7 linked regions of the Daphnia pulex genome follow. Each later gene encodes a partner of the first gene's protein in a complex. Links are inferred from orthologs where the notes say so. Each region holds a gene or a part of one and is shown in the gene's direction. Other genes may lie near its edges.

Region 1 (4,201 bases):
CATCAATCCATTGGCGTATCGCAAACTGGCGCAACAACAAATTCATTATGCGCTTGGAGATACAGGCCGTAGTTTTGTCGTGGGTTTTGGAGTTAATCCGCCGTTGAAACCTCATCATGCGTCCAGGTTTGAATAAAACATTGTGCTTATAAATATGATAGCATTATTATTTTTTAATGTTTTTATTTTTTTTTATGTAGTTCATGTCCGAATAGACCAGCTGTTTGTGATTGGAGCACTTATTCCTCAACTGCACCCAATCCCCAGGTGCTTTATGGAGGTCTAGTTGGTGGTCCAGATAGCAACGACAATTACACGGATGATCGGAGCAATTACGTTACCAACGAAGTAGCTTGCGATTATAACGCCGGCTTCCAAGGATCTGTAGCTGCTTTGCAATCATTGGCTGTCCAAGGTGTTTTCAACTAGAATACAAATTTACAAGATAAGACAGGAATTTGTTACACAACTATATTATATACCTACATTTTAGAAAGTATATTTTACTCTTAATTCTGCATGGTTATCTGCTACAGTACTGCTGATCTTGTTGGTTTTCTTGGAAATGGGATTTATTACTAAAGGTTAAAAAACGCCTGCATTTGTGTGTTCTTGAAAAGTTAAATAAAATTTGGTGATACATTTCTCAAACTATTGGTAACTTTTCAACCGATGCGCATGTCACGAAGAATCGTCTATTAATCTGAAAGAGTATAAGGAAAGTCTGGAATACGTTTGAGTTCGATGTCCTTTTCAAGGTAAAGGTGGTAGCTCGCGTGTTGTTTCATTCAATCTGAAACCTGAATTATGCAACTGCTGAATTCAATAGAAGATGTTGATAAATTGATTTCCACACCTAATTGATTTCCAAGTTCCCAAACATCACAATAGGCTAGTCATTAATCTAGCGTCGAAGTTGATTGGTTTCAAACAAGAACATCTGAAATCCGCACAGGGGGTGATAAACTGATGTATAGAAATCGAAAAATGCAACAAGCGTAACTACGTTTTCCGCGAAGAAACCCGTAAAGAGATTTCGCTGAAATTCCTCGTGCAAAAGAAGTCGTAGTTATCAAGGCTATAGTTCCATCGGGAAAAAAATAAGACAATTTTTAAAAATGTCTAAACAAAAGAATTTTGTGCGTCATCCATATTATAAAATCTACTTGAAACTGGTAGTGTGAGTATGCATTCCATCGAATGGGTCCTGTATTTCCTAATACCAGTGCGTTGCTCAAGTAATTCTTTTCCTCTAAAATGGTTTTAATATGGTGATGGTATTCTTGTTACGCAACTGTATTTTCGTTATTTTTTAATTATTGTGAAGTAATATGCAATAACGTAAAAGAGTTGAGTCTGTGCCGTGTATGCTTTGACCGAATGTAAAGTATAAAAAGGCGAGCGGGACGAACGATGCTGACAGAGAATCCAGCAAACTTACTACCGAGAATGTTGTCTTTATCCGGCTTCATCGTTATTCTTCTTTTCATGCATCTAGCTTCCGGTAAATATTCTTCCGTGTGGTTCCTCATATTTAACATGATTATAGAGTTGAAAAATACACCAATCAAAATAATAAATAGGAGGACCGTGCGATAATGTCGTCACAATTAGCTCATCTTGGCCGGGAGGCTTGACTGCCTCGCTTAATATTTCAATTACGACTCCAATCACTTCATGGGAAATTGACCTGAAATTTTCATCGGCCGTTCCATGGTTAAAGGTATGACACGCTCCTGTTACATCATAGATAGCATTTTTGAATATTTTTATTTTTAAAGGCTTGGGACGCTACAGAGTCTAAGATTAATGAAGTGGAATATCAGCTGAGAAACCTCAGTTCTAACGGAGTTCAGAGCGCTGGGGCTACACTGACGAGTGTCGGTTTTAATGCTTTCTTTAGTTCCAGCACCACACCCATTATTACAAGCGTACTTTTTAACGGAGACAACGTCTGTTTAATTGGTAAGTAACTAAATTATTAATCGTAATAATAGAGAATTTTTGGTTAAATTTTGTTTTTATTATGTCCTTCCAAGACACTAAAACAGAGGCTAGACAACCGATAATAGAAGAAGTAATAAATTTTAATTCTTTGGCATAAAATGGAAAAAGTTGTACTAAATGAAGCAATTTCTAGGAGAACAACCTTTTAGTGGATGCCTGGCCGACTAAATACAATTACCGTGAAGTAATCACCAAATCATTGCTCTTCTACTATGCCCAGCGCTCTGGGCGCTTGCCAGTAAACGATAACCCCATTCCGTATCGTTCAGACTCGGCGCTCAACGATCGTGGACAAGACGGAGAAGATCTCACTGGAGGCTATTACGATGGTAATTTATACTATTATTTGTATTCTATTTTATTCCATCAAAGTATTTGAAATTCTTTACCATATTTATTTAGCTGGAGATCACTTGAAACTCGGTTTTCCTTTAGCCAGTTCTATAACGATAGTGGCTTGGTCGATAATTGATTATCCGCTTGGATATTCTTCCGCAGGTTTTAAAAATTTAAACCAATTTCTCGTTGAATCAGATCACTAAACTTACTGGATTAATTTAAATAATACAGGGAAATTAACAACAGCTCGAAATATGGTCAAGTGGGCGACAGATTACTTTATCAAGGCCCATGTGCAAACTAACAAATTTTATGGGCAAGTGGGCGATGGCGATCTCGATCACGATTACTGGGGACGTCCCGAAGAAATGACCATGAAACGACCGGTATAAAGCCCTGACCCATTATTAAACTCATTTATTTCATCGACTGAAAACTACATTTCTATCGCTTTAGGCTTTTTTTATATCTACCTCAAAACCTGGTAATTTGTTTTTAAATTATATTGTCGTTCAAAGAAATAACACAACATTGCGCACGATAGGGTCTGACTTGGCCGGTGAAACAGCTGCCGCACTTGCCGCAACTTCAATAGTTTTTAAAACAGTCGACAGCACTTACTCAGCTCTTTGCTTGACACATGCAAAGCAATTGTACGATTTTGCTAAACGACATCGAGGAATATACAGCGAGTCCATCCCACAAGTAGCAGATTTTTATTCGTAAAAGCTTTAAATTTAATAAAATTGTTGCGTTTGATGTGTATCCGGTATAATATCACAATTGCCTGTAGGTCAAGTGGTTTCGGTGACGAACTGGCTTGGAGCGCTAGTTGGTTATACCGAGCTACTAACGATAACGCTTACCTCGACGATGCTAAGGCATTTTACACCGATTTCAACCTCTCCGATAATCCATCGGAATTTTCATGGGATACGAAAACTGCCGGAGTACAGGTAAATCAGTTATATTTGTTTAATTATTGTTCCGTTAATGCCATTTAATTCATATAGGTTCTGTTGGCCAAACTGACAAATGAGAACCTCTACAGAAACGCAGCGAAAACTTTCTGTGATTCCAAAGTTGAACAACCGAAGACGCCAAAGGGGCTCCTATTTGTTACCAAGTGGGGATCTTTAGGCGCCGCATCAAATATCGCTTTCATTTGTCTTCAAGTATTTAAAAAAAAAATTATATTCACAATTTTACGCCTGGTGATTAAAAATACGTTAAACTAATATATTAATATATTATTCACTTATTCCGTAGGCTGCCGATCTGAACATCAATCCATTGGCGTATCGCCAACTGGCGCAACAGCAGATTCATTATGCACTTGGAGATACAGGCCGTAGTTTTGTCGTGGGTTTCGGGCACAATCCACCACTGAAGCCACATCATGCGTCCAGGTTCGTGTTTTTAGCTTCTTGTTCATACAATAGATATCCAGAAATATTATACACATTTCTAATTTTTCGTCTTTTTGCAGTTCATGTCCGAATAGGCCCGCCGTTTGCGATTGGGATGCCTTTGATTCACCCAATCCTAATCCCCAGATCCTCTATGGAGCTCTAATTGGTGGCCCAGATAACCAAAATGACCATTACGTAGATGACAGACACAATTTCGTTACGAACGAAGTAGCTTGCGATTATAACGCGGGCTTCCAGGCGTCTGTAGCTGCTCTGCAATCACTGGCTGTTAACGGAATCTTCAACTAGAAGCAGTGCAGGAACATGGAAGATGAGATGAAGAAGATATTTAATATTTTCATCCGCCTTTCGTTTTAGTAATAAATCTTCTCGGTGTTTTTGGTTGTTCGGAATGTGTCAAATAACAATCGGGAAAATTTTTT
Region 2 (3,993 bases), on another chromosome or scaffold:
AAGAAATTTAATTTGTAATGTGAAAATAAGATTACCAGTCATGTACTACACCAATATGTCTAGTTGATTTCATCTTGCAAAAAGGAAGAATATGTTCTTTGAGGATGTTGTTGTATGTTCTTGAATCGAACTTGCCAGTCACTCTGCACAGAGAAATATTTGGATGGAACGAAGATATACCACCAAAAAACAACACAGTATTACCAGTTTATTTCTCCGAACCAAAATGCAACTCTATCTTGCTGTTTTTGTCGTAACTGGAATTAGGCAACTTCGAACTGGAATTGAGCAATATTCCTAACGATTCAACAAGCGATTCGCCACTCAAAGAGGCCGTTTTTGATTTAGCGGAAATCGTCGCTAGGGGTTCTAAAAATTAACAAATAGATGGGTTTTGTGCAAAATTTTTCGCTAAGTCGATTGCTGAAAACCGCAATCGCCTAGCTTTTGTAATTTGGGAGATTTTTTTAAAAAAACTGAGAGGGGGTAGCCGAAATTTGGAATTTTTTTCGTTTTTTGTGCAGCAGTTTTCTCGTCAACTGCTGCACCTGGAAATATTCGAATTGTTTCATAATGATGGGATAGCCCACCTCTTCAAACAATTTTCATGTTTTTTCGATGCTCGGCTCAGAAGCCGAGATATTAACGATTGAAATTTTTGAAAAAATTTCTAAAAATTTCTTCGTTTTTCGGCCATGCCGGGCTTCATCCTATAAGCCACCTAGCGCTGCGAAAATCGAGAGGGGGTGGTCACCCCAACAGACCCTATATTCAGGGTAAACGTGGTCCGATTTGGAAACTGGAATGAGCGCTCTAGTGAGTGTGTCAGCTACTACGCTTAGCTACTTTTGAGAGCCTAGATGGCTCTGTTTCCAGTTTCTACTTCACAATTCTGACAAGCTCCGCCCTAAAATGTCTGAAAATCGGGGATACGTTTACCCTAAAACCGGGATAGGGAAGCCAACACAGCCGAGAACCGACCAGGCATCTATTGCTCTGGTTCTGCTATCGGCCGCAGTGGTGCGCATCGGCGTAAACTGCGCAGGACTTTTTGTTCGACTACTACTTTTTCATTGGAATAACATCTATAGTCTTTGAGGCGATCAGCCTACCTCACTAGCGAACCTGGTGCGGAATCTTGGAACCCTTAGTATAAACAAAAATCGACAACGACATTGTTCGTTTTGGACTTTTGGTTTTGCCGCACAAGTCTTCACATGTAAAACAAATAGTTAAAAACTATACTGGCCTTAATGTTTTCATTATGTTTTTCCTTTATTGATTTACGGATAAATTTATCTTCTGTTTTCTTTTTTTAAGTTTTATTCAATAGGAGGATTAACACGCCATCTGTTGCGGAATCAATGGATTTGTATTTGTCCCCGCTTTCCAATCCCGCATTTAGCAATTTACCAACACCCAACGGCATCAAAATAAATATTGCAAAAGCTGAAGTCTGCTTCTCAGTTCTCAAGTTCTGAAGTAAAATTGTTGCAAGATCATTAAGTGAATACAGATTCTGGTACCCTACTTTTATTGTTTGATATTTTAAGGAATTCTATTGAAAAAAATTTTATGTTTAAAGAAATCAAAACTTCCCACCTAAGTTAAACTACTTTCTTTCAGTTCTTAAGGAGACATGGACCGAAAAGAAAGTCGCGATCATAATAATTTTCGAAAAAGAAGACATCGTTCCCCATCTAGGTCTCCGTCAAGATCACATTCAAAAAGTTATGCCTCCGTCAAATCCAAACAAATAAAGGAAGATATAAGTCTCAACATTCAGAGCGAAGAACTGTTGACAGGTATGTATTCAAAATTATGTTTATTAGTAACTAGTAACCAATAATTTTTTTTAAGGAAAAGGGAATGATGAAAGACCAGTTGCTAATTCAACCAATGATACTTCCATTTCGATTGAGGAAACCAACAGAATAAGAGCTGAACTTGGTTTGAAGCCATTGGAGATTGGAGGAGAAAATTCAAATGTTGAAGCCAGTACTGAGAAAAAGGATGTTCATGTCCCAGCAGGTAATGATTTCATTTAAATGTCTTTACTTGTACAATTTAAATGTGGTATTTCTCTAGAGAACCTCCGTGAAAAGAAAGCCACAGAAGAGTTGAGACGAAAACTAGATGAAAGACGAGAAAAGAGGCAAATAGAACAAAAGCTTGCACAAGTGCGCACTCTTGCTCATACAACAGCTGATGATGATGACAATGCTGTTAGCTGGGTTGAAAAATCAAGAAGGATTCAGAAAGAAAAGGAAGAAGCTAATAAAAGAGCAAAAATGCTTGAAGAAATGGATGAAGCATTTGGTGTAGGAGATATGGTAACTACTGAACTGATTAAACAAAAAGCAAAAGCATACACAAGTAGAGACTTACGAGGAATAAAAGTAGAACATGACCGGGTAAGTCACCGACAACGTATACTTTTATTTGAATACCTGTGTTGATGTTGCTTTATTTTGTTAGGAAATGATAGCTGAAGGGAAAGAAGTAGTATTGACTCTTAAAGATCAAAACATCTTGCAAGAGGAAGGGGATGTTTTGGTGAATGTCAACCTTGTTGATATAGAACGCTACAAAAAGAACAATGAAATCAAGAAACAGAGACCGGGATATCAGCCCTATGAAGAGGAAGAAGTTGATGAATTGGGCCTTCCCAAACCAAAGCTCTTGCTTGCTAAATATGACACAGAAATAGAAGGAGAAAAACATGATAGCTTTGTCCTAGGTAAAATATTAGATTTGTTTTGTTGATCTTTACAAAAATATTTATGTTAAAATTCTAGGTAAAATTGGAGATGAAGAAGCCAAAATGAAAGCCCAAAAGTTGATGAAAGACAAACTCAAAATGCAACAGAAGAAAATTGAATCACTGGAATCGCGACCGCTCCAAATTGCATCTGAATATTATACAGCAGAAGAAATGGTTTCCTTCAAAAAAGTTAAACGTCGCGTCAAAAAGGTTCGATCCAAAGGCGACGGCATTTTAAAAGCTGACGATCTTATTCAAGAAACGCAAGAAACAACTTCGTCAGACTTGGGATCGAGATCTCGAAAGAAGAGAATGGATGAAGAGGTCACAGAAGGTATTTTAGTTTGACTAGTATATTGTTTTATTATTACTTATTATGTCTTGTTTATCCAACGCCAGATTTAAGCGGATTCAAGATTACTGTAGACGAATCCCAAAAAGAAATACGTCAGGCACTATTAAAAGCTAATAAACTAAAAGAAAGGAAGGCTGATCAGTGGGACATGAACATGATTACGCGGTCATTAAAACGCGAGCCTTTGGAAGAAACGGAAGGTATGGAAGAGGATCCTCTGAAGAGTAGTATCATACTGAATGCCACAGCAGAATTCTGTCGTACTCTTGGTGACATACCAACCTATGGTATGGCAGGCAATCGTGATGAAGACGAAGATGAGTTAATGGTAATTCATTGCATGAATGTTTTTTTTTTTTTGGTTTTGACTTTAATTAATTGCGTTTCTGTTTTGGCAATAGGATTTCGAGCGACAGTTGGCAGAAGAACGCAGAAGAAATCAAGAAAAAGAAGAGCGAAAAAGGGAGGCTGAGCGTCTTCAAGAACGCGGTGGATGGAATGTTCTGGAACGTGAAAACGATCAAGGTTCCGACGACAGCATGGATGTCGATCGTAATGAAAAGGGTATGTATACTGTGTTCTCGTCACTTTTATTGTTGTCAGTGTTTGCATTTTTTTCTTTTCTCTCTGTAAAATAGATAACGCTACTGTTATCCTGGACGAGGAACCTGATGTCGGCTCGGGAATGGCTGCAGCTTTGAAATTGGCTATGAGCAAAGGCTATCTGGAGAAAGAAGAGAAGAAGAGGATAGTTATTTCTAAGTCCGCCCAAGAGCTGCAGGCGCAGCGCTACACCATAGAAGATAAAGCAGCGTACAATTATTTTGTGTTTTGTTTATACGATATTCAGTTATTCTTATTTTATTTTGTTATT
Region 3 (4,140 bases), on another chromosome or scaffold:
TTGATGCCGCAATCAGATTCAAAGAAAATGACAGTGTCAGTGTTGCTAAGAGTAGCGTCCCCAACACGGTGAATTGTTTCCAAACCAGTAGCCAAGCCATCGTGCAAAAAGACACCGCCATTTACGCCGGGGTAAGCATCCCATCTATTTAGGAAATTTCAGAAAATTCATATTTACTAAAAATAAAGTTGATTGTCAATTTTTCCCGTCATACGTAAAGCTAAAATCGCCATCTGGAAGCTGAATACGGTCGTATCCTAGCAGGACTATCTGCTCGCGAACTAAAGCCAAAACCTAAAATATAAAATGTTTTTAAAAAGACAAAATTCAGTAAATCAAAGAACGAAATTGAATTATATTACAAATACCTCGTCCATGTATTCATTGGCATTTCCTGCTTCCCCACTTCGAGCACGATTCATCAAATGTTCAGAGGCCGGAAAGGAAAGACGAAGAAGCGGCTCGCCTTTTCCAGAAACGGGGCGTCGAATTCCAGCACCTACCAAAAGTAATGACAAAATTAAAAATTATGGTCGTTAGAAATTTAGAATCAACCCAATCAAGGAACGAGTAACAAATATGAGCAAACCATTGGAAAGGGTAAAAAGGCAGAGCAAAGCGAAAATGCCAACCACTTTCATGACGAACGAACACAATTTCAGTTTAAAGTTAAAGAAAGAAACCGTGTCCTTTTGAGAAACAGAAAATGCAAACTGCACACGACCAATTTATACAAAAATTATTGGTCTATCAATGATTGGGCAATCGATCACTTCTTGATTAGAAAGTGATATAAATGGGTTTTTCAAAGATTATGATTGTGACATCGAACTTGATTTGACTAATCTGATAATCCGTATTGCGTGCTAAAATCAAAGGGCAAACAAAATTACCCAATGATTATATTTTTGTACACCTTCGAAGGACGAACTTATACAAAAAAAAACATTCTATTGAAAATGAATTACGAAATTCTAATTCACCAATTGCTTAGTTGATTTTTAGAAACCCGGAAATTGCTTGTTTCCGGGTTTATGGTTCAAGTAAGCAATTTGTATCCAGGCAGAAAAAATCTACACTATGCTGAACATCATTATCTGAACCATGAATATCGCTTTCAAAATATAGACTTCTGTTGACATAAGTTAATCAAGGTAAACAGAGTTCTGATAATACATCCAAACAAATTCGAGACAAACTCTAAACTTTGAGATGATTACACAACACCCAAGACCCAACAGCGTTACCAGACACAAAATAAGGGTTTTTTAGTTAGTTATCAGGATAGTAATTCAAACGATAAAAAATAGTAGCCCCATCTTGTACAAATAATTATTTACTTGACGCATGACCATGATAATCAAACGAAATTTTGAATCGCGTTACAAGATTTGAATGAAGTAGTTCACGCCATCTACAGGACAATAATTCTACTTTTTCGTTTACCGGCATTAACGCGTTGCATTCGTTTTATGTGTCTGCTATCCTTTCCGTAACTCTGCATTCGAGTTTCCTTAATTCTTAAACAATAAGAAAAGCTGTCAATTTTGGCTCTTGGGGTAAATATCTTTTCAAAAATGGGGACGGAAAAGAGTGATATAAAGCGCAAACATGAAGATTTCGATGATGAAGACGAACCCGTCGTGAAAACAAGTATTGTTGTCACTATCCACAAAACCAAATAATAAATATAGTGCAATCCGTGTAACAACTTTTACTGATAAAAATTCTAGGAGAACCAATTGCCAAATCTCGTTTGTGTCCTTATTTGGACACAATAAACAGGACAGTTTTGGATTTTGATTTTGAAAAACTCTGTTCAGTCTCGCTCACAAGGATTAATGTCTATGCATGTTTGGTGTGTGGGAAATACTTTCAAGGTAAATTTGAAGTTAAACAGCAATATTCACATATTTTAAATTGTTTCAAATGAATTCTAGGAAGAGGCCCCAGCACACATGCATATCTTCACAGTGTGGGAGAGGGACATCATGTTTTTTTGAACCTTCACACCCTAAGATTCTATTGTCTGCCAGACAACTATGAAATCATTGATTCATCACTCGATGATATCAAATATGTCTTGAATCCAACATTCAAAAAAGCAAATATTGCAGTGTTGGATGTCATTGATAAAGTATCTAGGTCTTGTGATGGTACTCTTTACCGTCCTGGAGTAGTTGGACTCAATAACATCAAAGCTAATGATTACTGCAATGTAGTCCTACAGGTAATGAAGTAGTAAACTATAAATTAAAATAATAAACTTTACTTACTTTTGTATTAGGCTTTATCTCATGTTGTTCCACTACGCGATTACTTTCTCAGGGAAGAGAACTACATTGGTATCAAGCGTCCTCCTGGAGACAATAACGTCATCTTAGTTCAGCGTTTTGGTGAATTGATTCGTAAGCTTTGGAATCCACGCAACTTTAAGGCTCACGTTTCCCCCCACGAGATGCTCCAGGCTGTCGTTCTGTGCAGTAAAAAGAAATTCCAAATTACAAGCCAGGGTAATATTAAATTATGAGAATTGTTATTAAAATTTTACCTTGCTAATTCTTCATTTTCCATATTTCAGGTGATCCAGTGGAATTTCTTTCGTGGTTTTTAAACGCGTTGCATCTGGCATTAAACGGTACCAAGAAGCCAACTTCTTCAATCATCTACAAATCTTTTTTGGGAGCAATGAAAATTCATTCTCAGCGAATCCCACCCATCGATGCCACTGATACAGAAAAGGATGCACTGATGTTGACTGCCGAATACGTCGAAACATTTGTCGATTCGCCTTTCCTTTTTCTGGCAGCCGACTTGCCTCCCCCTCCTCTGTTCAAAGATGAATTTCGCGAAAACATCATTCCACAGGTTTGCCAAAATCAATTAGCTTGTAGCATTAATTAAAAGCTAGATCGAGTCTTTTGTTGATTTTTCAGGTATCTCTGTTTGCATTGCTGTCTCAATTCAATGGAGTCCAGCAAAAGGAATACAAGACCTACAAGGAAAATTTTTTGAAGAGATTCGAATTGACAAAACTGCCACGTTACATTATTCTCAACATCAAGAGATTCACGAAGAACACGTTTTTCATAGAAAAGAATCCCACCATCATAAACTTCCCCATCAGGTAAATAAAATTACCACACCATTTTTTGTTGACTGTTACAAAATTGAGATGTGCTTTTAGGGGTGTGGATTTTGGCGATATTCTAGGTGCAGATGTTCGCGCCAAACACGGATGTACCACATACGATCTGTTAGCCAATATTGTACATGATGGAGAACCAACCAAGGGAACTTATCGTGTTCACATACTTCATAAGGTAAATTCGTTTTATTGTTGACCAATAATCACAATAAACTTCACGAGTCAATTGCTTCTATTAGGCGACAGGAAAATGGTTTGAAATGCAAGATCTGCACGTGACAGAAATTCTTCCGCAGATGATCACTCTCACAGAAGCTTACATTCAGGTAGAAAAAAAAATACAATAAAACGTTATTATGTCCCATTTAAAATGTTCAAACATTTTAGATATGGGAACAATCTACGGAAAGAAGCGACGTTGAAATGTCCAACTGAAATTTCTGTCAAAAGTGTAAAACCCGAGTTGAAATAAATATTCAAATTCGTACTAAAGCATTAATGTGAGACTTCTTATTGGATTGAATAAAATTAACACACCACGTCGCGAGGAAAACGAACCATGTTTGATTACACAAGATGCAATAATACACAACTTATTTCGTTTTTTTTTGTTTCATTTATCTTGCTCCAAACGATGTTGTGTGGCAAAACAGGGAAAAAGGAGTGATTTGTTTAATTAAGAGAGAAGAAGTGGGTTTGAGAATGCAGAGCAAAATAAAGAAATCTTGAAACAAACACGTAAGAGACAACCCCCAAAGAGGACAGAAGGGATGAAAAAATAAAGGGTCGTAGTGAAAAATTAGATTCACACCGCGCAATCAAATTGTCCTTCATGAATTCCGCTCGTTTGCTACTCTTTTTCCCTTACATACACTCGCACAAAGTTTCTTCAAAAATCAGACCAGCATTCGATCGAATTCAAATAGCTTATTTTTTTGCGGTGAGCAGCGGTGGGGTGATTTTTATTTTATGCTACAAAAAATTGGAAAACG
Region 4 (2,516 bases), on another chromosome or scaffold:
TTTTGAGATTTCCCCAAATGAAAAACAAACCTGATGCCTTCAAGAAATTAGTGTTTGACATTTTGAAAAAAAAAGGATCATGTTTGAAAAGTGAGATTTTACTTATTTCATCTATAAAAGTTTTAAGGTTTGCAGGATTAGGGGTTTTCGCTATTTCTTTACGTTTACGACCTGATCATGACTTTATATCACATAAGAAGAATGTTCTTCGATATCATTTAATAATGAAAGAAGTTGAGTGTGTATAAACAAAAACAGTAGGTTTACTTTCTACTCAAATTTAACACAATATATTTCACATAATCAGTTCAATCCTGGGTTTGTATACATGAGGCTACATAATAAGGTATTTATTTTTTACATTCGTGACAGAACCATTCGTCATCGTCGAGGAATATTCTTTTTACAACATAAGGGAGATAGATGTTACAAAATACTGGTAGTCAAAAAGAGGAGTGGTTAACTTTGTTTATGATTATCTCCGCGGCGTTGGAACCTAAAGCAACCCATCATCAAAGGACAAGGCGCTTCCATATTCCGCTCTTAAAGGATCTTTGATTGACGCCGCACCATGTGCTAATTCTTTCCCCTTAAAATCAATTACTTTTTCATTGTCAGTTCATTCATGTGATGACAAAGCACCGAGTGAAACTGAACACGAAAATACCAAGTATTTTTTCGCACTCACAATTCAGTTAAAATGTCTTTTGATATTCTCACTATAATAAAGTAAACTGCATCTGCATGTTAACTTAGTTTTGTATTGTTTTGTTTCAAGATATGAAAGACGTGTTTAGCTGTTAGTTTATTGGAATAAGAGACACGGGCATTGCATGGTTTATAGCGTGAAATCAGCTGAATCACACGTTACGTGTAAATCAGCAGAAATAGTGAGTTGCTGGTCAATGCGTTTGAAGGTCACAAAGAACCCCTCGAAGCCCCGTTCTGAGAACTCCGGCTCGACTTTCAGGCAGGTAAGGGGCGACAAAGGGTGACTCACTATATGCGTTTATAACGTGTATAAATCCTTACACTGAGCAAATAGAGCGAGAAATTGAAATGGTTAACAAGAAATATCACCCTGAATTGAAATGTTTATAAATTCTACTTTATTCCTGTTGCAAGACACTTAACTATATTTACAATTTGAATTTTAAGGTACTGATTCAATGTTGGACATTGTACTCTAAACTCTAGCTAAGTTAACGATAACGAAATAAAAGTTCTTTCTATACACTGACTATTTTTATTTATTAGTGATATTCAAATATATATGATTGTTATAAATACATTTTATTTGAATTTCCAAAGAAAAAAAATCTAAACCATTCAAATTTCAAAACACAGAAACAGAATGCCATCGGTCGCCAAATGAAAGTACTACATATTTCCATTCCGGAGTGCAATAGCCACTTTTGACGCTAGAGGACTCCGGACTCCGGAGTGCAATAGCCACTTTTGACACTAGAGCGCTCCGGACTCCGGAGTGCAATAGATTTTACCAAACTTAACTTACAAATTTTCGAAGTTGGCGTGGAAGACATTTCATTTTTTCCCTCTAATTAAATAAAATGGCTGCACCAGTACCCACGCTTTTACCTCTGGTAATACTTTTTTAAAGTTATGCAATTAAATCTTCACCTAAATTTGGTGTGGTATACAGGAGTTGGTTGATAAATGCATTGGTTCAAGGATCCACATTATCATGAAGAATGACAAGGAAATAGTGGGAACTTTGCTAGGGTTCGACGATTTTGTCAACATGGTGCTGGAAGATGTGTCAGAATTTGAATCTACTCCAGAAGGAAGACGTGTGACTAAGCTAGACCAGATCCTGTTGAATGGAAACAACATAACTATGGTAAGGATGCTATAGCAACATAATTTATTGTCTTATTACTTGAACTAATAGCCATTTCATGATTGATATTTAGTTAGTTCCTGGTGGAGAGGGACCAGAAGCTCATTCATGAATTTTTCTTTAATTTTCGAAAGACAATACATCATTCACTCAAATCCTTGAGAATATTTACAATTTCTGACATAGTTGGGCGGTCTTCAGGTTTTGGTTGCCAACAGCTTTGATAAAGCTTACTAAATGTTGTTTCTTCTTCATTACAATTACTATTGAGGACTGGTCTTTCATCCTTGGCAACAACCTAATAACCAACAAGAAACTTAACAATGAATCACATAAAAAGTCTAAAAATGAAATACCAGGTATGCTACAGTGGGCCAGTCCAAGTCAGAAAAAGGTATTTGATTGTGTTCAAATTGCCATAATGTTATACCATAGGAATAGACATCAGATTTTGTTGAGGGAACATCCCCTTGAAGTATTTCTGGGGAACAGTAAGAAACTGTACCTACTCTTTGTTGGTACTGAAACAGAAATTAAATAGAACACAAATTACATCCATTTTCAATCACATCAAGATATGACAAGATAAAACTAACCTGGAATAAATCAAGCTGATGAATGTTTGCAGAATTTCCAAAGTCTCCCAATTTAATCC
Region 5 (3,935 bases), about 480 kb from region 1:
TAAAAAGTGGTGGCATTCTTACCTTGGCAACCGATGATGCACTGTTGATGTTACTGCTAACCGAATGTGCAGCCAAAAAGGCGATGAAAATCGCCATATGTATTCTGGGATTCATTTTTGAGAGAATTTCCTGAGCGTTTGAGAGTCTGCCTTACGTGTGTGTGAGAGGGTGGAGAGAGAGATTTTTTCAGTATTATTTATTTTAAGAGCCGGATATCCGTTTCTAAAGTTTTCTTCCAAGATTTTTGTGTTATTTCAATACAAAAGTGGAGAACGTGGTCGAATAAATTAGGATAGTTGCAGCCTTTTGTCCGTTTTTCTAATTTTCTAAACACAGACGGTGATGCTCTCAGGTCAGGCTGGGCATTTTCTTTCTTTCTTTCACACTTCTTCTCTCTCACAGGCGCGCACTCAACCACACAGTTCACTGGTGAAGCCAAAACGATGGCCGAGTTTTACTCGTCGATTCGGGGACGGAATGTTAAATATCAACAGAACAAAAAGAGTTGCCGGGAATTGGCGTGATTTCGAGACACTTCTCGATGTAACCAAAGGCCGAAATGGATTAAAAGATCCCAACTCACGCCCAGATCATCAAACACACCAGCCGAGAGCCGCCATTAAACTGAAGGGACTGGATTTTTCTTTGTGTCCCTCCGCCGCCATTGGGTACCAAAAACTCTGCCATCTGGCGGCAGTTTTCAGCTCCTCCCCACTTTCTCCTCCAACAACATAGACGTGGAAATTATACGGACGAATGTAAACCACACACACGGGAAAGAAAAGGAAAAACAAAAATCAATCTCATCATTTCCTCATCATGTTGGGAAAAAATGAATGACTCAATTTAGGTCATGGATTCAGCGCTCAAAATATCTTCATCTCGAGAGACTAGTTTTGTTCTTTCCGACGCACCAAATTTCGTTGGAATGGAAAAGAAATCCCAGACATAGCGACTATCACATATACTGGTGAAGTCGTTTTCTTGCGAGTGTTAAAAAACTAGAAGGTCCTCTGTTCTATAGTCACACGGACACACAAAACTTAAGAAAATATCGAGGGGAGAGATTTAATGTTTGTTGTTTCTCCCTCCTTCTTCTAACACTCCTTTTCTTTTTTTACGATCGTGGGTTCGCCTGTTTTCCGGCCCCAATAATACCCATTGTTTTCCAAGACTGCGCGGGTGTTCATGAAATTCCTCGAGTTACAACTTCTTTTTCCCAAAAAAAGAAAGAGAAAAAGGGTTCGGAAATTCTTGAGCGATATACCACTGTGACAGCTTTTCCCCATCTCAATTTTTATTCTTTTATTATACCAAAGTCTTTCCAAGTTTCCAACAAGATTTGGAAAAGGCGACCACTATAAAATATAGATCTAGCAAGAAAAGGCTTCTGCTCCGTCAGTAGTAGTTGTCAAAACTTTTTCACTTTTTTTTTCTACAACTTGAAAATTTTCTTAAAAGTCTAGAAGCCGGAGCAATGGCGCTTGTGTCAGTAAACAATCCCAGCAATAATGAATTGGTGTCGGCCACCTCGGGTCAAGTGGCCCTGCAACAGGTTTGATTTATTTGTGTTTTATTTATAAACTTTTAAATGAGCCGAATGCATCACAAAAGAGAATTGCATCCAACCACATGCTGACCAGCTTGTGTGTTTTGTTGTTGTAGATGCTATGATGAATTCAAATGTGATATTGACTTTTTCAATAAACAGGGACCAGCAAGAACGTCTAGCCTCATGGCTCCTATAATGCTCCTGGCAGGACATCCTGGAGATATCTTTAGCCTGAAGTTCCATCCTGACGGCCAGTTTTTGGTTTCCACCGGGTTCGACAGACAAATATGTAAGCATCATATATACATTTGAGCATCTCTACTGTTTGGATAATCAACCTCTTGTTCAACAGTTTTGTGGAATGTTTATGGAGAGTGTGAAAACTTTGCTGTGTTGTCTGGTCACACCGGAGCAGTAATGGATCTTCAGCTGTCTACCGATGGTGATACCATTTACACTGCTAGTACAGACAAAACCATTTGTTTGTGGGACACCAGAACAGGAGCTAAAATCAAGAAACTGAAAGGTATACCATTGTCACTGTCCCATTATTTAGCAATTGAACCCAACAACAATTTGTTTCAACAGGCCACTCCTCCTTTGTCAATGCTATTCATCCTGCACGAAGAGGACCTCCTCTTCTCTGCAGCGCCTCAGATGACTGCAACATCAAAGTCTGGGATCCAAGAAAAAGAACCGAGACAGTATCATTAGATAATTCTTACCAAGCGACTTCCGTCACCTTCAACGATACCGCCGAACAAGTCATTTCCGCAGGCATCGACAACGATGTTAAGGTGAGTTCGCAAAATTCAATTGTTGTAATAGAGAGAGAGAGAGAGAGAAGAAAAACTATGGGACCAATTTCCAAGAATTTGAATTAAGCCACCGATTCGGCGAACTTCATATTCCGTGTGAGTGGGAGAAAGTCACAAACTTGAGTATTTTTCTTACAGAATTGATTAAAGTTCTCAGTATTTTTACTTGATGGCTTCAAGAGAATAGTTTGGCAAAAAAGGAAGGACCTGCAGTCATATTCTGTCTTTGTTGTAAAAACTAAAGTTTCGACATTGTTGATTGTTTTCTACTTAATATTGAACCATATTCGTGCAAGTTCTGTCTTACCCTATCATCGAGTTCATTTTCCTTGAAGAGTGCAAGGGATTTCAACTTTGGTATTCTGATTATCGCGTGTCTCACCTTGATAAGGTCACCAAGTCCTTCCTTACTTCCAGGGCCCCTTCTCTTTGATATATGAATGGGTTCACTAATGTAAGCTCGTAGGCGAAGTTTTTAAAATTAATTCAAGTAATTTCAGCAGTAGGGTCTCGTCAAATGTCCTAATTCCATCCTAATTACTGAAGATGCGCATTTTTGTGTTTTGTCAGTTTGAGGCAAATGTGAAACGCTGGAAGCGGATTCTGATACTTCTTTGCTTGTCAGATGGTTGCACATTATCGATCAAAACTTTTCCCCGTAATACTTATGACAATTTTGCGACATCTTTAGGAAGAATTTACTCTGAAAAATAGATAATTTTCACTTTTTATCGATTATCTTTTCGTTCGAACTAAACCCATGTTAAGTTTTCTCCTTTTTTTGGAAGATATTCATTTTAAAACCTGAAAAGTAGTTTTGCATTTGCGATATTTCAACTGGTCCTGGCCTTGAGCTATTCACGTGAATATGGAGAGATAGGTAAATCATACACTTTCCTTTTTAGGTCTGGGACTTGAGAAAAAATGCTCTCCTCTACTCCTTGAAGGGCCATTCCGACACTGTGACCGGCTTGACTCTCAGTCCTGATGGATCTTACGTGTTGTCAAACTCGATGGACAACTCTTTACGTGTCTGGGATGTACGACCTTTCGCTCCTCAAGAACGTTGTATCAAAATGATGGTTGGCCATGCTCACAACTTTGAAAAGGTATATACAATGCCGGCGAATTTCTCAATCCATTCTAATACCTTGTGTAATGTTATAGAATTTACTTCGCTGCTCATGGTCACCTGACGGAACCAAAGTTTCAGCGGGATCTGCCGACCGATTCGTTTACATTTGGGACACTACATCTCGCCGCATCATTTACAAATTACCTGGTCACAACGGAAGTGTCAATGACGTTGTATTTCATCCTAAGGAACCTATTGGTAATTTACGCAGCAAATCAACATCAAGGACATCAATTAATTTCAGATTTTTTATTTTGAATGAAACATAGTTGCATCCGGTGCCAGTGACAAGCTGATTTACCTAGGCGAAATTGACGCTTAATTAGGAAAGGTTATAATTTTTTTCAGTTGAAACGATGGCAAGGATCGAGGACGAATAAACAAATAATTCTTTTACGCATATTTACAAAATTGCATTTAAATTAATCG
Region 6 (2,817 bases), on another chromosome or scaffold:
AAATACCAAGAAGGTTTTATCAATGAAATGAACAAAATATTTAATTAAGATAACAGGAATTACAAGTCTTCTTGCTAAAGAAATCAAGAGTGCTGAAACCTTAAAAATACCTGTATAAGGAAGTTTTAAAACTGTTGGATTGGCAGAAGAAGCATCTTGTGAAGATCTTTCCCCTTTATTCAATCCTGAAGCTGCCTCCAATAATCCAATTGCAGGGGATGGCGAAGAGGGCTGTGGATGTAATGTTGGATTCAATAAGGAAACTCCGATGACACCATGACTTGCAGAGCGAACATGTCCCTTAACTCCACCCGGCCAACCCCTGCTTGGCAGGGGGTTGACAGTTTCAAGCTCTATTGGGGGTTGCATCACATCAGGAAAAATGTAGGTGGTACCCGGTGAATCAAAATCCATACCGTCCCTGAAAATGAGAGAGTACCAAATTCAATTACAATTGAATTTCTTTAACCATTCACGAAACTAACTGTCAAGCTTGTGACTACCAACAACCAACTCAAAATCAACACAAACTTCTGAGCAATGGAAAAGGGAGAGTTATTTACTCACCAAACATCTTATTTCAATATTGCTGAAAAAGACAAGTCAGCTTTTGTTTTCAAAAAATGTCCATGGCAGACTAAAATCAACAAATCGTCTTAACAGTGGAACGATTGTTCGTTTATTTGGTCCAATGATGGAACCCAGTGAGGAAATGGAAGAAAAACAATCGGTTGGAAAGTGACGTCAACTTTAAAAAAAGTGCAAAAAGATGAAAGAATGGTAAGATAGAGTTTAGTGTCAGCAACTGAGCAACTTGTTGTGTGTCCACGTATATAACGGCAAATTCCAGCTGTGCACTGCTTTCAGCCTCTGCTGCATACACCGTACAAGCTTTACTGCCAGATTTTACACTCGGTAACCGATAATAAAGGAAATTGCGCGGAATGGACACCGGAGTGAAATAAGAAACCGGTTTGTTGACCGTTTAAAAGCTTCCAAAATGTAAAATTGAACCTAAAAAGTCTTTCTGTATCAAGACAAACTGTGATAAATTCCTATCTTTTTAATTCCGCGAAACGCAAAACCCTCTTTTATTACTTTTTAGAGAGCGCTAATTCTGGTTGTGAAGCTTCTCTGTTCTTGCCAATTTGTTAAAAAGACTTTTCATATCCACGACCACGAGTCACTTATTAAACAAAATCACTTAATAACGATACATAAAAAAAAATTCTCCTTTGGTTGTAAATTTTTCCAGCTATTATGATTGAAAACAGAATAGGTGACGTGAGTTTTTGGTCCGGAACCAGAGATCCGGGATCGTTGCTCTACGATGGATATCTCATTACATTACATCAAAAAATTATTTAAATAATCCTATTTTATAAGGTAATTTTAGTTCACTAGTTATTAGGTTTAAATATGTAAATTTCTTTCCTACAAAATGGAAAAACTTTCTCAAAATTTGATGTACTTAATAAGACGACTTGGCAACCCTTACTTCTGATCTTTACGTTACAGAACGTGTAAACTGAAATAACGCGGCTTGACTCGCTTGTCAAACATTCAATCAAATTTTGTAAAATCGTTGACTAAAACAAATACAAATCATGGCAGTAAGTTCAAAACCTAAATCTTGTTGGGTGGTCCTTTTTAGCCGACCATTTACTAACATGTTATATTTCATATTTTCAGGCACCCATGCCCATCAATCCCAAACCCTTTCTCAATGCCTTAACCGGCAAACCGATTATGGTAAAACTGAAGTGGGGCCATGAATACAAAGGTTATCTCGTTTCAGTTGATGGATACATGAATCTTCAGGTACTGTAATAATTATACCATGTAGTGCATTTTCATCAGTAAAAAAATGAAAACATGCTGTTGCACGAAACAGTGTGCATATATGAACAATGGCAATAATTCTTCTTATATTATCACAGTTGGCAAACACAGAAGAATATATTGATGGAAGCTGTACTGGAAACTTGGGTGAAGTTCTTGTCAGGTGCAACAATGTACTTTACATACGTGGAGTGGAAGAAGATGATGAGGAGGGAGAAATGAGAGATTGATTGCTGTTTGTATTGAATTTTTCATCCTTTAATACATAATGTCATTTCCTATCTATCTCATAGAAGTTATTGTATAGGAAACCTGGAAACCCTAAAAAATATGTTCTGGTGTATACATTACAAGATTCCCACAGACAACGAAGGACAAACAAGTAAAAAAACAGCTTTTCAGTATCCAAATTCCAAACACAGAACCGTTGTCTACCGTATTGGTGATTTAATGTTAAGTATACTGGAATTTCTTACGTTCCGGCGATTTTTTCCATTTAGTCGGAAAATAAAGGCTTTGTCTAAATGGAAAATGGTTAAGCTACCTTATGAATGAAGTTAGTAGGCAGCCCGCAGTCCCGCATGCTCGTAAAACTCAAGTCACATTTCTTTTCCACTTACACCAACTTGTTCGTAAATATATTTTGTAAGGTATAAATCAAAAAGGCAAACAAATCCGGAAACACCTTTTCCGATTGGCTCACGCTGGTACCAGCTGATGTCATAAGAATACCTAATTGCTTATGAATATTAATTGTTCAATACGTTTCAATTGGCCTGCATGTAACACGGCTGTTAACACTATAGGACGGTAAGCATGCGCAAGTTATCACTGTCGTTTGAACGTTAGGGGAGTTATAGGCTGTTGAACTCCGAGATGAATTACTACGGTTTGAAACAAATAATAAACATTGTACAAATGTACGTTCCTAACTAGACAACGAAGATTAAAACGTTACTGTCAGGATCACATTTA
Region 7 (2,619 bases), on another chromosome or scaffold:
TACAGAGATACGCCTAGTTTTCGTGACTTTCTCTCCCCGGAAGAAGGATTCGCTATTGTTCAGAATTTCGTGATTAAATTCGTATCTAGCAAAGTCCCTGCAATAACAAAGAGAGAGACAGAAATTTAGATAGAGTTATATATCACGATGGGCTCTATTTTGCATAGATAATTACTTCATTATATACAATGATCTTCTCGGTAATAGTGCCGTGACCAAGACTTGGGGTCGCTGTATATGTATGAGCCTCATCACACTGGCTGTGAGCAGAGATATGCCCGATATGGTGGGGCCACAAAACTATGTTTAGAGAAATATACGAATAGATTAGAATGATAATTTCCAAACGCTGTCATCTATCATACCTTTATGCTGTCCAGATGTGGTTTGATGTGACCATTCTCAGCTAAATCAAGCACATGGACATGCTGCATCGTGGTAGTTGAAAAGGCAAAAGCTCTCAACCGATTTATAACACAGTCATTGACTTGATTCCAAGTAGGTTTCTCTGTTTCCCTGTATCCGTGGATAGCCTTTTGGGTTTCGAATAACAAATGGTGGTCATTCAACAGTCAGACAACCTACGTGAACACGAAATTTCAGACTTACATCATCCCAATGGTCATACTGATACCGGGACCTTTTGAACTTCACCTCCAACTCTTCCAATAGGTTATTCTCTTCTTCAGCACTGATGAAATCTTTGTAGACTTGAAAGTCTTTCTCAAGCATTTGCCTCGTCGCTTCATCGCAGTCGGGAGAGAATTCTAAATTTGGAGAGATCCCGCGGGTCTCTGCGGGAGTTGAGCATGTGCTTCTTGAATGGGAACAAGTAGCACTTAAAGGAATTGCGCGCTTCAAAACTGCACGAATATTGACCAGATAAAGCACCATATCTCGATGCTAAAATATTCAACCATTAAAAGTCGGACATCAAAATATTTCAAATCGGCAATTTTCTGCAAAGAGCAGACGACGTTTGCGTGTGTGTACGTGACATGCCATATTTCGTTTTGATTGCAATCAAATGTAAAAAATGATGTCATTAAAAATGACAGACGGTACTTTATTTAATGGACATGTATATTTAAAATAAATAGATTTAACAAAATTGGGCTGGGGTTAGTCACGCTAATATATTATTTCGTTTAATGTTAATACCTCAAAACCGACCAAATAAAGAATTATACCGCATAATGGAAATGTAGGGCCTATCTGATTTTCAAATTTATTTGATGGCCAAAGAAAACGATTCATCAAAACTCTAGCCTGCTGAGTTCTTCTCCTCACCAACCATTTGATTAACGTCTCGGGAAAATAGCCTCAGGCACCCCTTCTCGATTTCTTTAGTCTTTTTCAAATAACCAATTTCCATACATAAACAAAAATTATATTACTCTATCGAAATCATTAATCACTGAAACATAAGTTTACTACAGTTTGTATGAATTAAATCTGAATAGAATGAATGAAAATACTTTGTTGATATTAAAGTAAAATAAACGGCAACGCTGTATTGCAGACGATTTTTACAAGCCAAATACAAAGTGAAGCGAGTGAAGAAATCATGGCATCAACGTTAGATTCTTACGTTAATCGTGAGTTTTAATTATTATATTGTTTATTATTCACTGAAAAATTGTATCTTTCTTGTTCGCAGGTTCCGTATGTGTTATCACGAGTGATGGGAGGAATTTTATTGTAAGTTGTAACGCCCGATCACAAGGCATCATCCTCACTCAATAAACCGTTTGAAATAATTTCAATGTATTCTTTTTACAGGGTATTCTTAAAGGATTCGATCAGACTATCAACCTTATCATTGACGACAGTCATGAGAGAGTGTTTAGTTCTACCCAGGGAGTTGAACAAGTCCAACTGGGACTGCACATCATCAGAGGAGACAATGTGTATGTTTCATCCACTTATTAGCTGTAAAATAACTCAATCATAACTATTTCTTGTTGTAATTTCAGAGTTTTAATTGGGGAAATTGATAATGAACTTGATTCCAGACTCAATTTATCAGAAATAAGAGCAGAACCACTAGCTCAAATCCACCATTAAAGTTTGCATTATTCCATCATGATCACTTGAAATACAATCTTTTTTACAGCTTTGTAGAATCATTCATTTTTTTACAATTAGCTCTAGTTTAAGCAGTTCTTCTTCAACTACTTTAAGGTTTATGATGGTGTCTTCAGGGATCACTGTTACCTAATTAAATGAAAAATCATGAAAACAAGTTTTTACATTAATAAAAATCAGACTTAATATAATTTACTTGGTCGGTTTCAGTAGAATCATCTGGAATGGTATCTTCTAGCAAACAAAGAAGAGCATCATTTTCATAGGTTGGAAAGTAGTACCTAAAAGTTTATCCAATAAAATAGGATCCACAAATAGAAAATTTTGAATGTATCCGGCTTACTGTGACTGATCCCAAACTGCCCGATCGGGAAGTTTAAAGTGACTGAAGTTTTGCATGTGCTCTCTCAGTTTATCCCGGGATTCAAACTGCTCATCGCAAAGTATGCATTTCTTTTCATGCACTTGTCTCCTGACGTAGTTGACAATCTTAATTTGCTGATAGATACTAAAGCTCTTTTTCAGGCCCAG

The links.
Region 2: pre-mRNA-processing factor 6-like (region 1) and U4/U6.U5 tri-snRNP-associated protein 1-like share a complex: the UniProt entries of both Homo sapiens proteins name them as parts of the U4/U6-U5 tri-snRNP complex. The link is inferred for Daphnia pulex from reciprocal best matches to the Homo sapiens genes PRPF6 and SART1.
Region 3: pre-mRNA-processing factor 6-like (region 1) and U4/U6.U5 tri-snRNP-associated protein 2-like share a complex: the UniProt entries of both Homo sapiens proteins name them as parts of the U4/U6-U5 tri-snRNP complex. The link is inferred for Daphnia pulex from reciprocal best matches to the Homo sapiens genes PRPF6 and USP39.
Region 4: pre-mRNA-processing factor 6-like (region 1) and U6 snRNA-associated Sm-like protein LSm5 share a complex: the UniProt entries of both Homo sapiens proteins name them as parts of the U4/U6-U5 tri-snRNP complex. The link is inferred for Daphnia pulex from reciprocal best matches to the Homo sapiens genes PRPF6 and LSM5.
Region 5: pre-mRNA-processing factor 6-like (region 1) and U5 small nuclear ribonucleoprotein 40 kDa protein-like share a complex: the UniProt entries of both Homo sapiens proteins name them as parts of the U4/U6-U5 tri-snRNP complex. The link is inferred for Daphnia pulex from reciprocal best matches to the Homo sapiens genes PRPF6 and SNRNP40.
Region 6: pre-mRNA-processing factor 6-like (region 1) and small nuclear ribonucleoprotein F share a complex: the UniProt entries of both Homo sapiens proteins name them as parts of the U4/U6-U5 tri-snRNP complex. The link is inferred for Daphnia pulex from reciprocal best matches to the Homo sapiens genes PRPF6 and SNRPF.
Region 7: pre-mRNA-processing factor 6-like (region 1) and U6 snRNA-associated Sm-like protein LSm8 share a complex: the UniProt entries of both Homo sapiens proteins name them as parts of the U4/U6-U5 tri-snRNP complex. The link is inferred for Daphnia pulex from reciprocal best matches to the Homo sapiens genes PRPF6 and LSM8.

What each region holds. Positions count from the first base shown.
Region 1 is NC_060027.1:3,689,252-3,693,452, reverse strand, and holds the start of pre-mRNA-processing factor 6-like, read left to right. Parts: upstream 1-1,401; 5' UTR 1,402-1,413; coding exon 1,414-1,504; intron 1,505-1,583; coding exon 1,584-1,723; intron 1,724-1,781; coding exon 1,782-1,965; intron 1,966-2,039; coding exon 2,040-2,077; intron 2,078-2,140; coding exon 2,141-2,336; intron 2,337-2,409; coding exon 2,410-2,505; intron 2,506-2,577; coding exon 2,578-2,732; intron 2,733-2,802; coding exon 2,803-2,830; intron 2,831-2,890; coding exon 2,891-3,068; intron 3,069-3,139; coding exon 3,140-3,302; intron 3,303-3,359; coding exon 3,360-3,521; intron 3,522-3,615; coding exon 3,616-3,755; intron 3,756-3,835; coding exon 3,836-3,986; intron 3,987-4,201. Other genes in the region: endoglucanase 12-like, read left to right, coding at 1-126, 201-429. UniProt on the Homo sapiens protein: Involved in pre-mRNA splicing as component of the U4/U6-U5 tri-snRNP complex, one of the building blocks of the spliceosome.
Region 2 is NC_060026.1:10,447,664-10,451,656, forward strand, and holds the start of U4/U6.U5 tri-snRNP-associated protein 1-like, read left to right. Parts: upstream 1-1,193; 5' UTR 1,194-1,219; intron 1,220-1,320; 5' UTR 1,321-1,522; intron 1,523-1,603; exon of another isoform or gene 1,604-1,626; 5' UTR 1,627-1,639; coding exon 1,640-1,805; intron 1,806-1,860; coding exon 1,861-2,031; intron 2,032-2,088; coding exon 2,089-2,414; intron 2,415-2,478; coding exon 2,479-2,740; intron 2,741-2,798; coding exon 2,799-3,098; intron 3,099-3,163; coding exon 3,164-3,447; intron 3,448-3,520; coding exon 3,521-3,683; intron 3,684-3,757; coding exon 3,758-3,932; intron 3,933-3,993. UniProt on the Homo sapiens protein: Plays a role in mRNA splicing as a component of the U4/U6-U5 tri-snRNP, one of the building blocks of the spliceosome. May also bind to DNA.
Region 3 is NC_060025.1:1,779,032-1,783,171, forward strand, and holds U4/U6.U5 tri-snRNP-associated protein 2-like, read left to right. Parts: upstream 1-1,446; 5' UTR 1,447-1,577; coding exon 1,578-1,653; intron 1,654-1,733; coding exon 1,734-1,880; intron 1,881-1,940; coding exon 1,941-2,230; intron 2,231-2,287; coding exon 2,288-2,513; intron 2,514-2,581; coding exon 2,582-2,868; intron 2,869-2,936; coding exon 2,937-3,127; intron 3,128-3,187; coding exon 3,188-3,323; intron 3,324-3,387; coding exon 3,388-3,474; intron 3,475-3,535; coding exon 3,536-3,583; 3' UTR 3,584-3,640; downstream 3,641-4,140. Other genes in the region: uncharacterized protein LOC124202306, read right to left, coding at 1-144, 215-294, 369-499, 590-641.
Region 4 is NC_060021.1:7,375,193-7,377,708, forward strand, and holds U6 snRNA-associated Sm-like protein LSm5, read left to right. Parts: upstream 1-1,484; 5' UTR 1,485-1,516; coding exon of another isoform or gene 1,517-1,549; 5' UTR 1,550-1,571; coding exon 1,572-1,604; exon of another isoform or gene 1,605-1,663; coding exon 1,664-1,861; intron 1,862-1,934; coding exon 1,935-1,973; 3' UTR 1,974-2,003; downstream 2,004-2,516. Other genes in the region: peptidyl-prolyl cis-trans isomerase H-like, read right to left, coding at 1,517-1,549; serine/threonine-protein kinase mos-like, read right to left, coding at 2,004-2,159, 2,218-2,382, 2,458-2,516. UniProt on the Homo sapiens protein: Plays a role in pre-mRNA splicing as component of the U4/U6-U5 tri-snRNP complex that is involved in spliceosome assembly, and as component of the precatalytic spliceosome (spliceosome B complex).
Region 5 is NC_060027.1:3,204,468-3,208,402, reverse strand, and holds U5 small nuclear ribonucleoprotein 40 kDa protein-like, read left to right. Parts: upstream 1-1,135; 5' UTR 1,136-1,478; coding exon 1,479-1,556; intron 1,557-1,712; coding exon 1,713-1,842; intron 1,843-1,905; coding exon 1,906-2,079; intron 2,080-2,141; coding exon 2,142-2,350; intron 2,351-3,276; coding exon 3,277-3,480; intron 3,481-3,538; coding exon 3,539-3,704; intron 3,705-3,775; coding exon 3,776-3,828; 3' UTR 3,829-3,908; downstream 3,909-3,935. Other genes in the region: syndecan-like, read right to left, coding at 23-115. UniProt on the Homo sapiens protein: Required for pre-mRNA splicing as component of the activated spliceosome. Component of the U5 small nuclear ribonucleoprotein (snRNP) complex and the U4/U6-U5 tri-snRNP complex, building blocks of the spliceosome.
Region 6 is NC_060019.1:9,593,577-9,596,393, forward strand, and holds small nuclear ribonucleoprotein F, read left to right. Parts: upstream 1-1,466; 5' UTR 1,467-1,607; coding exon 1,608-1,613; intron 1,614-1,692; coding exon 1,693-1,821; intron 1,822-1,940; coding exon 1,941-2,072; 3' UTR 2,073-2,081; exon of another isoform or gene 2,082-2,123; intron 2,124-2,135; 3' UTR 2,136-2,317; downstream 2,318-2,817. Other genes in the region: phospholipid-transporting ATPase VD-like, read right to left, coding at 111-414. UniProt on the Homo sapiens protein: Plays a role in pre-mRNA splicing as a core component of the spliceosomal U1, U2, U4 and U5 small nuclear ribonucleoproteins (snRNPs), the building blocks of the spliceosome.
Region 7 is NC_060019.1:330,990-333,608, forward strand, and holds U6 snRNA-associated Sm-like protein LSm8, read left to right. Parts: upstream 1-1,488; 5' UTR 1,489-1,567; coding exon 1,568-1,598; intron 1,599-1,660; coding exon 1,661-1,701; intron 1,702-1,782; coding exon 1,783-1,910; exon of another isoform or gene 1,911-1,976; coding exon 1,977-2,067; 3' UTR 2,068-2,119; downstream 2,120-2,619. Other genes in the region: alpha-ketoglutarate-dependent dioxygenase alkB homolog 7, mitochondrial-like, read right to left, coding at 1-97, 176-300, 366-533, 610-894; zinc finger protein 277-like, read right to left, coding at 2,131-2,217, 2,285-2,369, 2,432-2,619. UniProt on the Homo sapiens protein: Plays a role in pre-mRNA splicing as component of the U4/U6-U5 tri-snRNP complex that is involved in spliceosome assembly, and as component of the precatalytic spliceosome (spliceosome B complex).